2 linked regions of the Arabidopsis thaliana genome follow. The protein of the gene in region 1 purifies or fractionates together with the protein of each later gene. This does not show direct contact. Each region holds a gene or a part of one and is shown in the gene's direction. Other genes may lie near its edges.

The links. Proteins that work in one complex are often made in the same cells at the same time.
Region 2: the proteins of VLN2 (region 1) and ALATS fractionate together in Arabidopsis thaliana (co-fractionation; one large-scale study listed by BioGRID). This does not show direct contact.

What each region holds. Positions count from the first base shown.
Region 1 is NC_003071.7:17,414,378-17,420,418, reverse strand, and holds the start of VLN2 (villin 2), read left to right. Parts: upstream 1-2,598; 5' UTR 2,599-2,973; exon of another isoform or gene 2,974-3,203; intron 3,204-3,472; 5' UTR 3,473-3,540; coding exon 3,541-3,590; intron 3,591-3,711; coding exon 3,712-3,811; intron 3,812-3,937; coding exon 3,938-4,006; intron 4,007-4,106; coding exon 4,107-4,343; intron 4,344-4,434; coding exon 4,435-4,612; intron 4,613-4,732; coding exon 4,733-4,865; intron 4,866-5,012; coding exon 5,013-5,172; intron 5,173-5,263; coding exon 5,264-5,414; intron 5,415-5,505; coding exon 5,506-5,606; intron 5,607-5,690; coding exon 5,691-5,849; intron 5,850-6,041. UniProt on the Arabidopsis thaliana protein: Ca(2+)-regulated actin-binding protein. Involved in actin filaments bundling. Caps the barbed end of actin filaments and is able to sever them in a calcium-dependent manner. Required for the construction of actin collars in pollen tubes.
Region 2 is NC_003070.9:18,595,978-18,602,018, reverse strand, and holds the start of ALATS (Alanyl-tRNA synthetase), read left to right. Parts: upstream 1-3,539; 5' UTR 3,540-3,707; coding exon 3,708-4,002; intron 4,003-4,267; coding exon 4,268-4,506; intron 4,507-4,811; coding exon 4,812-4,952; intron 4,953-5,304; coding exon 5,305-5,451; intron 5,452-5,658; coding exon 5,659-5,811; intron 5,812-6,041.

The sequences.
Region 1 (6,041 bases):
GAGGTTTCAAGTCAAGTGTATCATATGCGAATGAGACTATCAAAAAGGAGAGATATAAATGGAAAACGGTACGGTGAACTTTTAAATGCATAATTATATTAGTCAAGTAGAGAAGTTTGTAAGAGTTTGAACAAACTCTAGTTGGCAAAGCATTGATGGAATGATGGTAGCTGATTCTGAAATTTCTTCTTCTATGTATTTACGAATACGATTATATACATGACATAACTTTTTTTTTTCCTTCTTTTTTTTTGAGTTGAAAACGAGAGTAGAGAAAAAAGGAGTATTATCCATCCATGACATCTGCCAAAAGCCTAAAAGTAGAAAAGAAGGCTGTTCTCTATTTATCTGGTTATTGTATTTCATTCATGATTGTTGTTTTTCATGTTAAAGAGTATATTATTACGAAGAAATACTATAGTGTATTCTTTTAATATACGAAAAGTGCATATCCTTCAAAAAGGAGTTGAATCGTGCAAATTCACATGCTAAAAAGGACATCGTGTCATGCTGAAATAGCGAATGATGAGACCAATCTCTCCAAATCAAATAATTTATTCCGAAATACTTTTCTTTTTTACAACATTCTATATGATATTAACTATGTATAATGAATTTGGATAGTTTTTTTTAATTTGTGTTAAAAGATCTTATACGGTCTATTCTACACCTACATAGGTTATATCCAAATCAAGTATGATTTCACCTATCTTTTCTTGCAAATATTTGCATCATTTTTTTGTTAATGTTTATATATAACTAGGTCTAGGTTGGTAGCTATTTATGGTACAACAAATCCAATAAATGTATGTAAGTATATATATATATATATATATATAAGTTTAGATGCAATATATATTTCAAGACAAAAATTAGCGACGTTTCCAATTGTATAATGATGACCTATTTTTTTCCATGTATATTATATTAAAATCCAAAATATTGGTAATATATTAATTAAAATAGCTAAAAATAGATAAATTTTTTTTTTTTATTGTTTGCGAAGGTCTTTAAAGGTCGGTACTACCGAAAATCCAATCCGTTGGATAATATTAAATTATATTCTCCATCTTATGGATGAAGAAGTATTGTTTCTGATCGATCTCTGGTTAACAAAGGATTTATTAAAAGAGTCGGTTTTGGGGCGTCCATTTCAGTTTAGGAGGATTCGTGGATTCCAACTCAATTCCCGAGACCAGCAAAAAGTAATGGCTCAGTTATTGATCCATGCCTAAAAGTTCAAAGTCTTATTGACACTCGAACAAATTTCTGGAAGATTGACTTATTAAATGAGCTTTTTGTCCCAGAAGATGTTTCACTAATAAGTGCTCTGCACTTGGGTGCGTCAACTACGGAGGATACTCTTGGTTGGCACTTTACAAAGTCCAGAAAATATTCAGTTAAATCTGGATATCATACGGCAAAGCTAGAAACTTTGGATGTAAATGTTTCCTTTATTGGGCCAGACATCAAAGCTTTAAAAGCTTTCATTTGGAAAGTGCAGTGTCCGCCCAAATTGCGTCATTTTTTGTGGCAGACTCTAGCGGGTTGTGTGCCGGTTACAGATAATTTACGGAAAAGAGGTATTAATTGTGATTCAGGGTGTGTCTGATGTGGTAACGTAGAGGAAACAATTAATCATGTACTTTTCCAATGTCACCCTGCGCGACAGATATGGGCCCTTTCACAGATTCCTTCGGCGGCAGGAATATTTCCATATGCCTCTATTTATGCGAATTTGGATTATTTATTTTGGAGGATTATTTCGGATTTTGATTCTTTTTCATACCCATGGATAATTTGGTATATTTGGAAGGCAACGAATGAAAAGATTTTTGACAATGTCGATAAAGATCCCTTAAAGGTATTATGTTTCGCAAAAAGTGAGGCACAGTCATGGAAGTCAGCTCAAATTGAGTTGCATGTTGAAAATCATGAAACTCCTAATTTCGGATCTAGGAGTAGAGCGAGGGATATCTATCCTGATATCAATTTCTTGGGATATCGTTGTTACGTGGATGGGTCATGGAAAAAAGACGATTTTTTCTCTGGGACAGGATGGTACTGTACATCAGCAATTGGAGAGACGCCAACAATGGGAGCAGCAAACCTTAGACGAAGTCTATCCCCACTACATGCCGAAGTGGAAGCTCTTCTATGGGCGATGAAGTGCATGATTGGCGCCGACAATCAAGATGTTGTGTTTCTCACAGACTGTTCGGATCTGGTGAAGATGATGTCTTCCCCAACCGAATGACCGGCTTTCTCAGTGTATTTGGAGGAATTGCAGAGTGACAAGAAAAAATTTTCAAGTTTTTTTTTATCTTTAATTTCTCGTAGTGCAAATGTCAAAGCGGATAATTTGGCGCGTAAAGTTCGTGTCCAACCGCATCATATCACTTATGTAAACAAAATTCTTCAGGAATGGCTCTTTTGAGCTCTAATTAATTTTGGATGACAAAAAAAAAAAAAAAATATTTTTACAGTTATTACCATAATTTCGAAAAAACAATATGTATTAAATTTGGGATTAATGTGGATTTTTGGAATTAAAAGTGTGGTAAAGAAAGAAAAAGAAAAAGGCAAAACAAGATTGGTCGGGAGGAAATTGAATCACGACCGGATCTAATTTACTTGGCCTTAAAAATTGACAGACTCTTCTTTAAACGTCTTTTCTCAAAACTTTGTCTCCCTCCTCTATATTCTTCGTCTTCGACCTCGTCGTCTGGCAGTAATTCAATCTCTCTCTCTCTCTCTCTACTGTAATAAATCTAAGGAAACAAAAAACGTTACGAAAGAAAAAGCATTAAAAAGAAAAGCTTTAGAGAGAAAAAAAACACAGCTCACAACCTCTTTTCAATTATTCAATTTAGCTTTTTTTCTCTTCTTCTTCTTCATCTTCCCTCGTCTTCTTTGCCAGTTCTTCTTCATCTTTCGTCGTTTTCTTAGTGCCACCCAAAGATCTTCGTGCAGGTTCGTACTTCTTTCTACCTCGATCGATTTTGACTAAATGTATGGATCATCTGATTTCCGATTTGATCGTGGTTGTTCCTTGCTCTGTTTCATGATCTGTGAATCTGAGTTTCTCGATCTGGCTGCGTCTTTTTCGGAAAAGTCGAGAATTTTTTCCTGCTGGGTCTTCTGAATCACATTTGATCAATTCCTGGAAATCGCAAAGTTTTGAGTTTTTCTAATTTCTAAAGGTTGATCGAGCCAAAATCCTTTACGTGTCTGTGTCTGACTCTCTGTAGACCTTTCCTGTTTCTTGATCACTAGCTAGCTTTCGAGATTGGATTTAAAATTTTCTAGATGAATCTCAAATTATAATTACAGAATTGACCAATGCTTTGCTTGAGAAACAGTCCAAGAAGAAATGCTTGAGATCCTTCATCTCCAAGTAAATGGGAGGATTTGGTTGATTATCTGCTCATTTTCTTAACTTTGTTCCGTATTTTTTTTTTTGACTCAACAGGTTCATTGGCGTTTGTAGTACATAAATTTTCCCTGACACACAGAAAAAGAGGATTTGACTGTTATACAATGTCAACAAAAGTGTTGGATCCTGCATTTCAAGGAGCTGGCCAGAAACCGTATCCTTTCAGCTACATAACTACTTTCCCATTAGTGTTTGATATCAAATGAGCAATCTAATTATGTTCTTCCTGAATGTTTGGACTGTTTGAGCTTGTGAACCTTAACTTTTGTTATTAGAGGGACTGAAATCTGGAGAATTGAGAATTTTGAGGCAGTTCCTGTACCAAAGTCTGAGCATGGAAAGTTCTATATGGGAGATACTTACATTGTCTTGCAGGTTTGTAATTCTTTTCTTTGCTCTTTTCTTTCCTCTGTTTTCTGTGTTCTATAAAAATATTTAGTTATGATCTCTTACAAGACAGACTAACTTATGTTTGAGAAATGTTATCTTCCCTTTGCGCAGACAACACAGAATAAAGGGGGTGCTTATTTGTTTGATATACATTTCTGGATTGGTAAAGATACAAGCCAGGTACTTATCTCCAAGACTCTTTTATTTAGTAAAGACTGTTTTTGGAAGAGAATGCAAAGGTGAAACTGTGTTTTACTAAATTATGGTTTGATGATTTTAGGATGAAGCTGGAACAGCAGCTGTTAAAACAGTTGAACTCGATGCAGTTCTTGGAGGCCGTGCTGTCCAACACCGGGAAATTCAGGGTCATGAATCTGACAAATTCTTGTCTTACTTCAAGCCATGTATTATACCCTTAGAGGGTGGTGTTGCGTCTGGTTTCAAAACAGTTGAAGAAGAGGTGTTTGAGACCCGGTTATATACTTGCAAAGGAAAACGTGCAATCCGTTTGAAGCAGGTTTTAACCATTGTACTCTCCTTGTATTAGAACGAGTGAACGGTGATTACCAATGTACATCAACTTTTTCTTCTGTTCCTCTTTTTTGCAGGTTCCTTTTGCCCGCTCATCACTGAATCATGATGATGTATTTATCTTGGACACCGAGGAAAAGATCTATCAGTTCAATGGTGCAAATTCAAACATTCAGGAGAGAGCCAAAGCTTTGGAAGTCGTTCAGTATTTAAAAGACAAGTATCACGAAGGAACTTGTGATGTTGCGATTGTTGGTAAGCCAATTGCACCTTCTTCCTCAGTTTCCTTTAAGTCAATGAACAGTGTTTTAATACTTAAAGAATAGGTTTTGTGTGTGGAAACTTATCTATATTCATACTTTCCTGCTATAACAGATGACGGAAAATTAGATACAGAATCAGATTCTGGTGCATTTTGGGTCCTCTTTGGTGGTTTTGCTCCAATCGGAAGGAAAGTTGCCAATGATGATGACATTGTCCCGGAGTCAACTCCACCTAAGCTTTATTGGTCTGTTAATTTCTAATTTTGTCTTCTTGATATAATGCATGCCATCCTGATACTTATATCTTCTGCAGTAGTACCTATTTTAAAATTTACTTAATAGATTATTATGATAGAGTTATTGATTGATATGTTGTTGCTGTTTAACTTTAGCATCACTGATGGTAAGATGGAACCAATAGACGGTGACCTATCCAAATCTATGCTGGAAAACACTAAATGCTACCTCTTGGACTGTGGCGCTGAGATATATATCTGGGTTGGCCGTGTCACTCAAGTAGATGAGAGGAAAGCTGCTAGTCAATCTGCTGAGGTAAAGAATGGAAATCTATTAAAAACATTTCTCCGGTCCTTAGAATATCTATCTCAATCATGGCTTCTCACTTTTTACCTTTCATCTACAGGAATTCCTTGCTAGTGAAAATAGGCCAAAGGCAACACATGTAACTCGTGTAATCCAAGGTTATGAGTCCCATTCTTTCAAGTCTAACTTTGACTCTTGGCCATCAGGCTCGGCCACTCCTGGTAACGAAGAAGGACGAGGAAAAGTCGCTGGTAAAACACCACTATGAAACTCAAATCTTTATAGAAAACATTGACGGTCTTGTAGCCCTGACTGACTATTTTCAATGCCCCATTTCTCTAGCTTTACTGAAGCAACAAGGCGTTGGGCTCAAGGGCATTGCAAAAAGTGCACCAGTGAATGAGGATATTCCACCTCTGCTTGAAAGTGGTGGAAAATTGGAGGTCTGTTTGTGACATGTTCCGGGTATTTTACACATTTGGCTATGAATGTATCCATTCTGATAATTCATTATGTCTATGTATCAGGTTTGGTACGTTAATGGTAAAGTCAAGACTCCCTTACCTAAAGAAGATATTGGAAAGCTCTATTCTGGGGACTGCTATTTGGTCCTTTATACCTATCATTCTGGGGAAAGGAAAGACGAATATTTCTTGAGTTGTTGGTTTGGAAAGAAAAGCATTCCGGTAATTTTTATCTAAATCATAACAGAATGTGAATCCTTAGTATACATACTGTATAATCCTCCATTTCAGTTAATTTCTCTATTTCTAACTTTTATATTGGCTATCTTAGTTTCTTCCTGGTATTGCCTGGTTGTGACTGTAGAACTTTGTATTTCCCTTCTGAGTATTGAGGGTAACCAGTTAATGTTGCAA
Region 2 (6,041 bases), on another chromosome or scaffold:
ATTATTCATCCATTCAAATCGTTGCATGTTTTATTGTATCAATTGATGGTGTTTTTTAAAGTTCTTTTTAATTTGTTTGATGAGAACATAACAGATTATTTGTTTAGTTTATATAGAGGTGAGTATTTAGAATTCTTTTTCTTTTAGGATTAATAATTAATTGTAAAATTAATTCTTTATTGTATTTTATATAATAAAATGGTATATTTTTTAAATCCATTATTCATATTCTAGTTTAAGTGTTCGGTTTTTTCTTTCTATTACCCTAATTTCTGTTGTAGTTTTTATTTAATTGGAATACCTTGAATTTCAAGAAAGCATGCATAGAATGTTTTTGTTTTTTTTTGCTTGTGTCGTCTCTTACTATTGCAACATATGCAATTAGCATGTTCTTACTTCCATTGCTACTAACTCCATTTGAAACATATGATTTGATGTTCTCATATACTCTTTGCCACTCGTTCCATGTACTTATCATTGCCAGAAATCCTCCAAGAACTGTTATAGCTAGAGGTAAACCTCCACACCTTACAATTATCTGCTTCCCAATCTCCTCCATTTTCTTAACCAACATTGGCTCTGCATATCAGGTGAATAAGTGTGTCAAGTATGATAGTATATATGCTGCAGAAAGATTAGAGCCTAATGATTACCTATATTTTCTCTTCCAGATAATGAAATTTTCTCCAACAGCTCCCAACTCTCTTCACATGTTAGCTTCAATTGTTGCTCATGAAGCACACCCCTGGGATCAGCATATAAAGCGACCAATGCTGCATATTGAGGTTAGCTTCTCTTTTGTTCTCAAGTTTGTCACCATTGTAAATGAGCAGCTGGAAAAGAAACAACTCTTAAGGGATATGCGGTACGCAGTTGCTGCAACTAGGGAGTTACTTCCGTCGTTGATGAACGACTACTAGTTTTCTGTGTCCAAATACTTTTCTGAATCAGTTCATCCGAGATCTTTTTTCCTTCTGTAAAAATAATAATATTTTTTCTTCTTTTTTTGCAGATTTCTTCTTATATCACAAGTATTCTCTATGGCTAGTCTCTTATTATATGCATCTATTTTGTCTACTGAAGACATAACTTGCAACATTTCTTGGAGTTTTTGGTCTTGATCAAGTATGTTTTTTCTGCCTCTCTGTGATTGAAACTGTGTTCTTTGAAAACTGGACTCAGATTGATTTTAGATGTGAATGACTCTAATCGAATTAGTACTGGTTCTTGTTGATGTATCTGACTTTCATTTTTAACTTTTTATTTCTTACAGGTTCATCCAGTTATCATCTGTAGCTGGATATGTGAAGTGTCTTCTTGCGAACTTATGTCTTAACTTTGAAATACTTTGAATAACGATGATAATTTGGAGTAATGATGGTAATTTGATCAAATTGTGTTTGGCTTTTTGGTGTGTCCATTTGCAGAGATATATTGCTTTTTAATAACGAGAAAAATGTTATTTAATACCCTAATTTTCAAATTATAACCGTTTTATACGTCAACTTTATATATGGTCATTTTAAACATGATGTTATCGTTGACCACCATTTAAACCATGAATATTTCGTTGACCAGGCCAAAAAAAATAGTCGTTAACGGATTATTCAACTCCCGTTAACACCTCCGTTAACCATTCTAAACGATGTCGTTTTCGTTACTATAAATCATGTTTTACCCTTTTATAAGCTTTTAAAATCCCTTGTAAATCATTCCAATGCCACTTACTTATGCTTAAAAAAACATTGTAAACCATGCTAGCCCTTTTTAAAAATCCTTGTAAATCATTTTATGCCACTTACTTATGCTTTAAAAACGATGATAAATCATGTTTTACCTTTTTATAAGCTTTTAAAATCCCTTGTAAATCATTCAATGCCACTTACTTATGCTTTAAAAACGATTGTAAATCATGTTTTACCCTTTTATAAGCTTTTAAAATCCCTTGTAAATCATTCAATGCCACTTACTTATGCTTTAAAAACGATTGTAAATCATGTTTTACCCTTTTATAAGCTTTTAAAATCCCTTGTAAATCATTCAATGCCACTTACTTATGCTTAAAAAACGATTGTAAACCATGCTAACCTTTTTTAAATCCCTTGTAAATCATTTTATGCCACTTACTTATGCTTTAAAACGATTGTAAATCATGTTTTACCCTTTTATAAGTTTTCAAAATCCCTTGTAAATCATTCAATGCCACTTACTTATGCTTAAAAAACGATTGTAAATCTTGTAAAACTATTGTAAAAAGTTTTAAAATGATTTACAAAGGTTTAAAAAGGGGTTTTAAAGTATTTACCTATGTTTTTAAAGACTTTATAAAGATTTTAAGAGGTTTTAAAATGATTTACAAGGGTTTTTAGCAATTACCAAAGATTTTAAAAAACTTTACAAGGTTTTTTAAAAGAGTTTTTAAAAAATTTACAAGGATTTTTAAAAGCATTTTTTTTGCTGGGAAACAAAATTTACGAGAAAAAATTTTGGCGGGAAATTTATTTTTGGCGGGATTTTTTTTTTTTTGGCGGGAAAAAAAGGTTTGGAGGTGTTCTTCAATGAATAGGGGTGCTTGATGAGGCTTGTATTAAATGGTAGAAGTCCATGGAGAAATCGAAGTGTTCAAAATCGGAGGTGTTCTTCAATGGAAGCTTTACTATGGAAATGTTTTGTTTCGTTAAAGATGAAGAAGAAGAACTTTAAGCGTATATAAGTATCTGTGTTTGTATAGAATGACAGAGAAATCTTTGCAGGTAGAGTGGTCAAATGACCTTTGATTTTTCTCAAATGATAGGGGTTCGAATCCCAGGTCTGTCATTTCTTTTTAAAGAAAAACGAAAACGACGTCGTTTAGAATGGTTAATGGAGGTGTTAACGGGAGTTGAATAATCCGTTAACGACTAATTTTTTTGGCCTGGTCAATAAAATATTCATGGTTTAAATGGTGATCAACGATAACTTCATGTTTAAAATGACCATATATAAAGTTAACGTATAAAACTGTCATAATTTGAAAGTTGAGGTATTAAATAACATTTTTCCCTTTTAATAACTGTAACCAATATGTAACAGAAATCCATCCAACCCAATTTGATCAATAGCGTAAAAACTCATTATTGTTATAAAATTTTAGGTAGTTTACATCAAAATAATATCATTCATTTTTTATACTATAAAAATAGTATTTAGATTAATATTTAACAAGAATAAGAATAATTTTTATATATAGATCATATCAATCCACATAATAAAAAGAGAAAAACTCAAATATGAAAAAAATTCAAGTAACAAAAATATATTAGAATTACATTTGGTTGATTGGAAAAAAAAAAATTACGTGTAAAACTATAGTATTATCTGAGAAACGAATACAAAAATTTGCAACAGTAGCAGCAAAACAAATTCAAAACTTGCGGCAACGACAACAGCAACAACAACAACGAAACAAACAATAACATGCGAGGCAGTCTCACGGCTAGTGGCAGCAAACCCAACAGTTTATCTAAACGAGAACCAAAATTTACTCTCGTTTTTTTTTTAATGTTATCCTTTGATGAACAAAATGTATTTTCCAAATTTTACTTTTTTTATTTTTTAAGTATTATCCCTTAAAATAATATATCTTGCGGAAAAGGAATCGGATTAAATAAATTTTAACGGTAGAAAATAGGATAGGAGGAGAGAGAGAAGGTCTTTTATTGGTTTGAATGAGATTAGTGAAGGCAGCTTCTCTTCTGATTTCTTCAACCAAACCTCCGTCTAGGGTTTTTTACTCTTCCCATCTCCGCCGCCCTTTTTTCTCTCACTTCCGTTTTTCTTCCTCTTCGTCGACGTCTTCCTCCGTCGCAGTCATGCCGGGTTCCGAACCATCGGAGACTCAGTGGCCAGCAAAGAGAGTCCGGGATACTTATGTCGATTTCTTCAGAGGCAAAGGCCACAAGTTCTGGCCATCAAGCCCCGTTGTTCCTCATAATGATCCTACTCTTCTCTTCGCTAACGCTGGTACGATAACTTCGATTCCTCATATCTGTTTTTGCCGATAAGATTGGGAATTTGTCCAAGTTGATCTATGGAATTCAGATTCTATAGAGTTGACTTATTCTGTCTTCTTTTGTCTTTGAAGCTTTGGGACTTATTCAAATTTCTCAATTTCAGTTTTGGTCGAAATTTTCTGATATTGATACTGAGCTATGTAAATTAAGTTCTCTTGATATGTCTGGCGAAAAATAGAATTATTAATGACATTGAAACTTCTCTGTTTTTCAAGGAATGAACCAGTATAAGCCAATATTTTTGGGTACGGCCGATCCAAATACTGAGCTTAGCAAGCTATCTCGGGCATGTAACACCCAAAAGTGTATTCGTGCTGGTGGAAAGCATAATGATTTGGATGATGTCGGCAAAGATACGTACCATCACACCTTCTTTGAAATGCTTGGTAACTGGTCCTTTGGAGATTATTTCAAGAAGGAAGCTATCGAATGGGCTTGGGAGCTCTTAACCAAGGTAATTAAATACCTGGGAAATTTGTCTCTGTTTACTTGATTTAAGAAAAATATACATGGTATTATTCAGTAAACTATTGTCTCCCTCCCTTGGGACGGTATGTCTCAATTTTGTTAAGTGATTCTTCTCTTTTCATTTGGTTGTACATTTCAGTTTTGTAAAGTGATTCTTCTCTTTTCATTTGGTTGTACATTTCAGTTAGATACCTTGTGACAGTATTTCATAATTTTGTAAAGTTACTATTCTCTTTTCGTTGAGGTTGTTTATTTCATTGAGGTTGATACCTCCCTGTTTTCATGCCTCAGGTCTATGGGCTACCGACTGATCGAATCTACGCTACATATTTTGGCGGTGATGAGAAAGCTGGCCTTCAACCTGATAATGAGGCTAGGGATATATGGTTGAAGGTTCTTCCATCTGGACGTGTGCTGCCATTTGGTTGCAAAGTATGTATTGATTATTTAAGATAATAACTTTTAATCTGTTACCTAATTTTTTTGAATCCACTACTCATTGATTTCCTCTCTCCTGAGGTTACTTCACAAGTACTTCAGCTAAGTTGCCTTTGTATTGTCACCATTGTTTCTTGTATATATTGACACATCTGTTTGTCAATGCTAACGACAACCAACTGTAAGCTTGAATGCATTTTGGCTAGGAATACGCTATCATGTTTGGTAGTTGGCAGGCTTTAAAAACCATTGTTTATGATTTACAGTCAAAATCTTGTACAAAATGTAAAACTTAAGGGTTTTTAAATGCTGTTTTTCTTTCATTTAACTTTTGATTAAACTGCAGGACAATTTCTGGGAAATGGGCGACACAGGTCCGTGTGGACCTTGTACTGAAATACATTATGATCGCATTGGTAACCGTGATGCTGCATCCTTAGTTAACAATGACGATCCAACATGTTTAGAAATATGGAATCTTGTCTTTATTCAGGTACAAACCCTCTCTGTCCCAATTGTTATTTAGTTCCATTTTACTAATCTTTATCTCAATATCACAATTGTTTTAATGATTTTGTAGATTGTGTTACTGAAAACTCTATATTGTGCAGTTAGCTAGATTGTTATTGCTCCTTTAGCTGTGCTATCATATTCCCAATTGTTTCCTCTGACTGGGATGTTACTTATGTCTTCAAAATAGTTCAACCGAGAAAGTGATGGCTCGCTAAAACCTCTGCCTGCTAAGCATGTTGATACCGGGATGGGCTTCGAGAGGTTGACTTCTGTTCTTCAAAACAAAATGAGCAACTATGATACAGATGTGTTCATGCCTATCTTTGATGACATCCAAAAGGTAATTTGTGAAAACTTCTGTTGATGGTTTCATGACAGCTGTTTAATGATGGTTTCATTGAGTTATTTTTGTTTGGCCTCCTCTTAGGGACGCATTTGTCACCTTAATTAGTACTATCATCATTTTAGTTCATCAATTTTGAAGTGGATCATGGGTTCTATGCTTTACGTCGAGACTCCGTCAATTGTTTTTGAATATTTCTGGTTTATTGAATTTGGATTTCATGATAA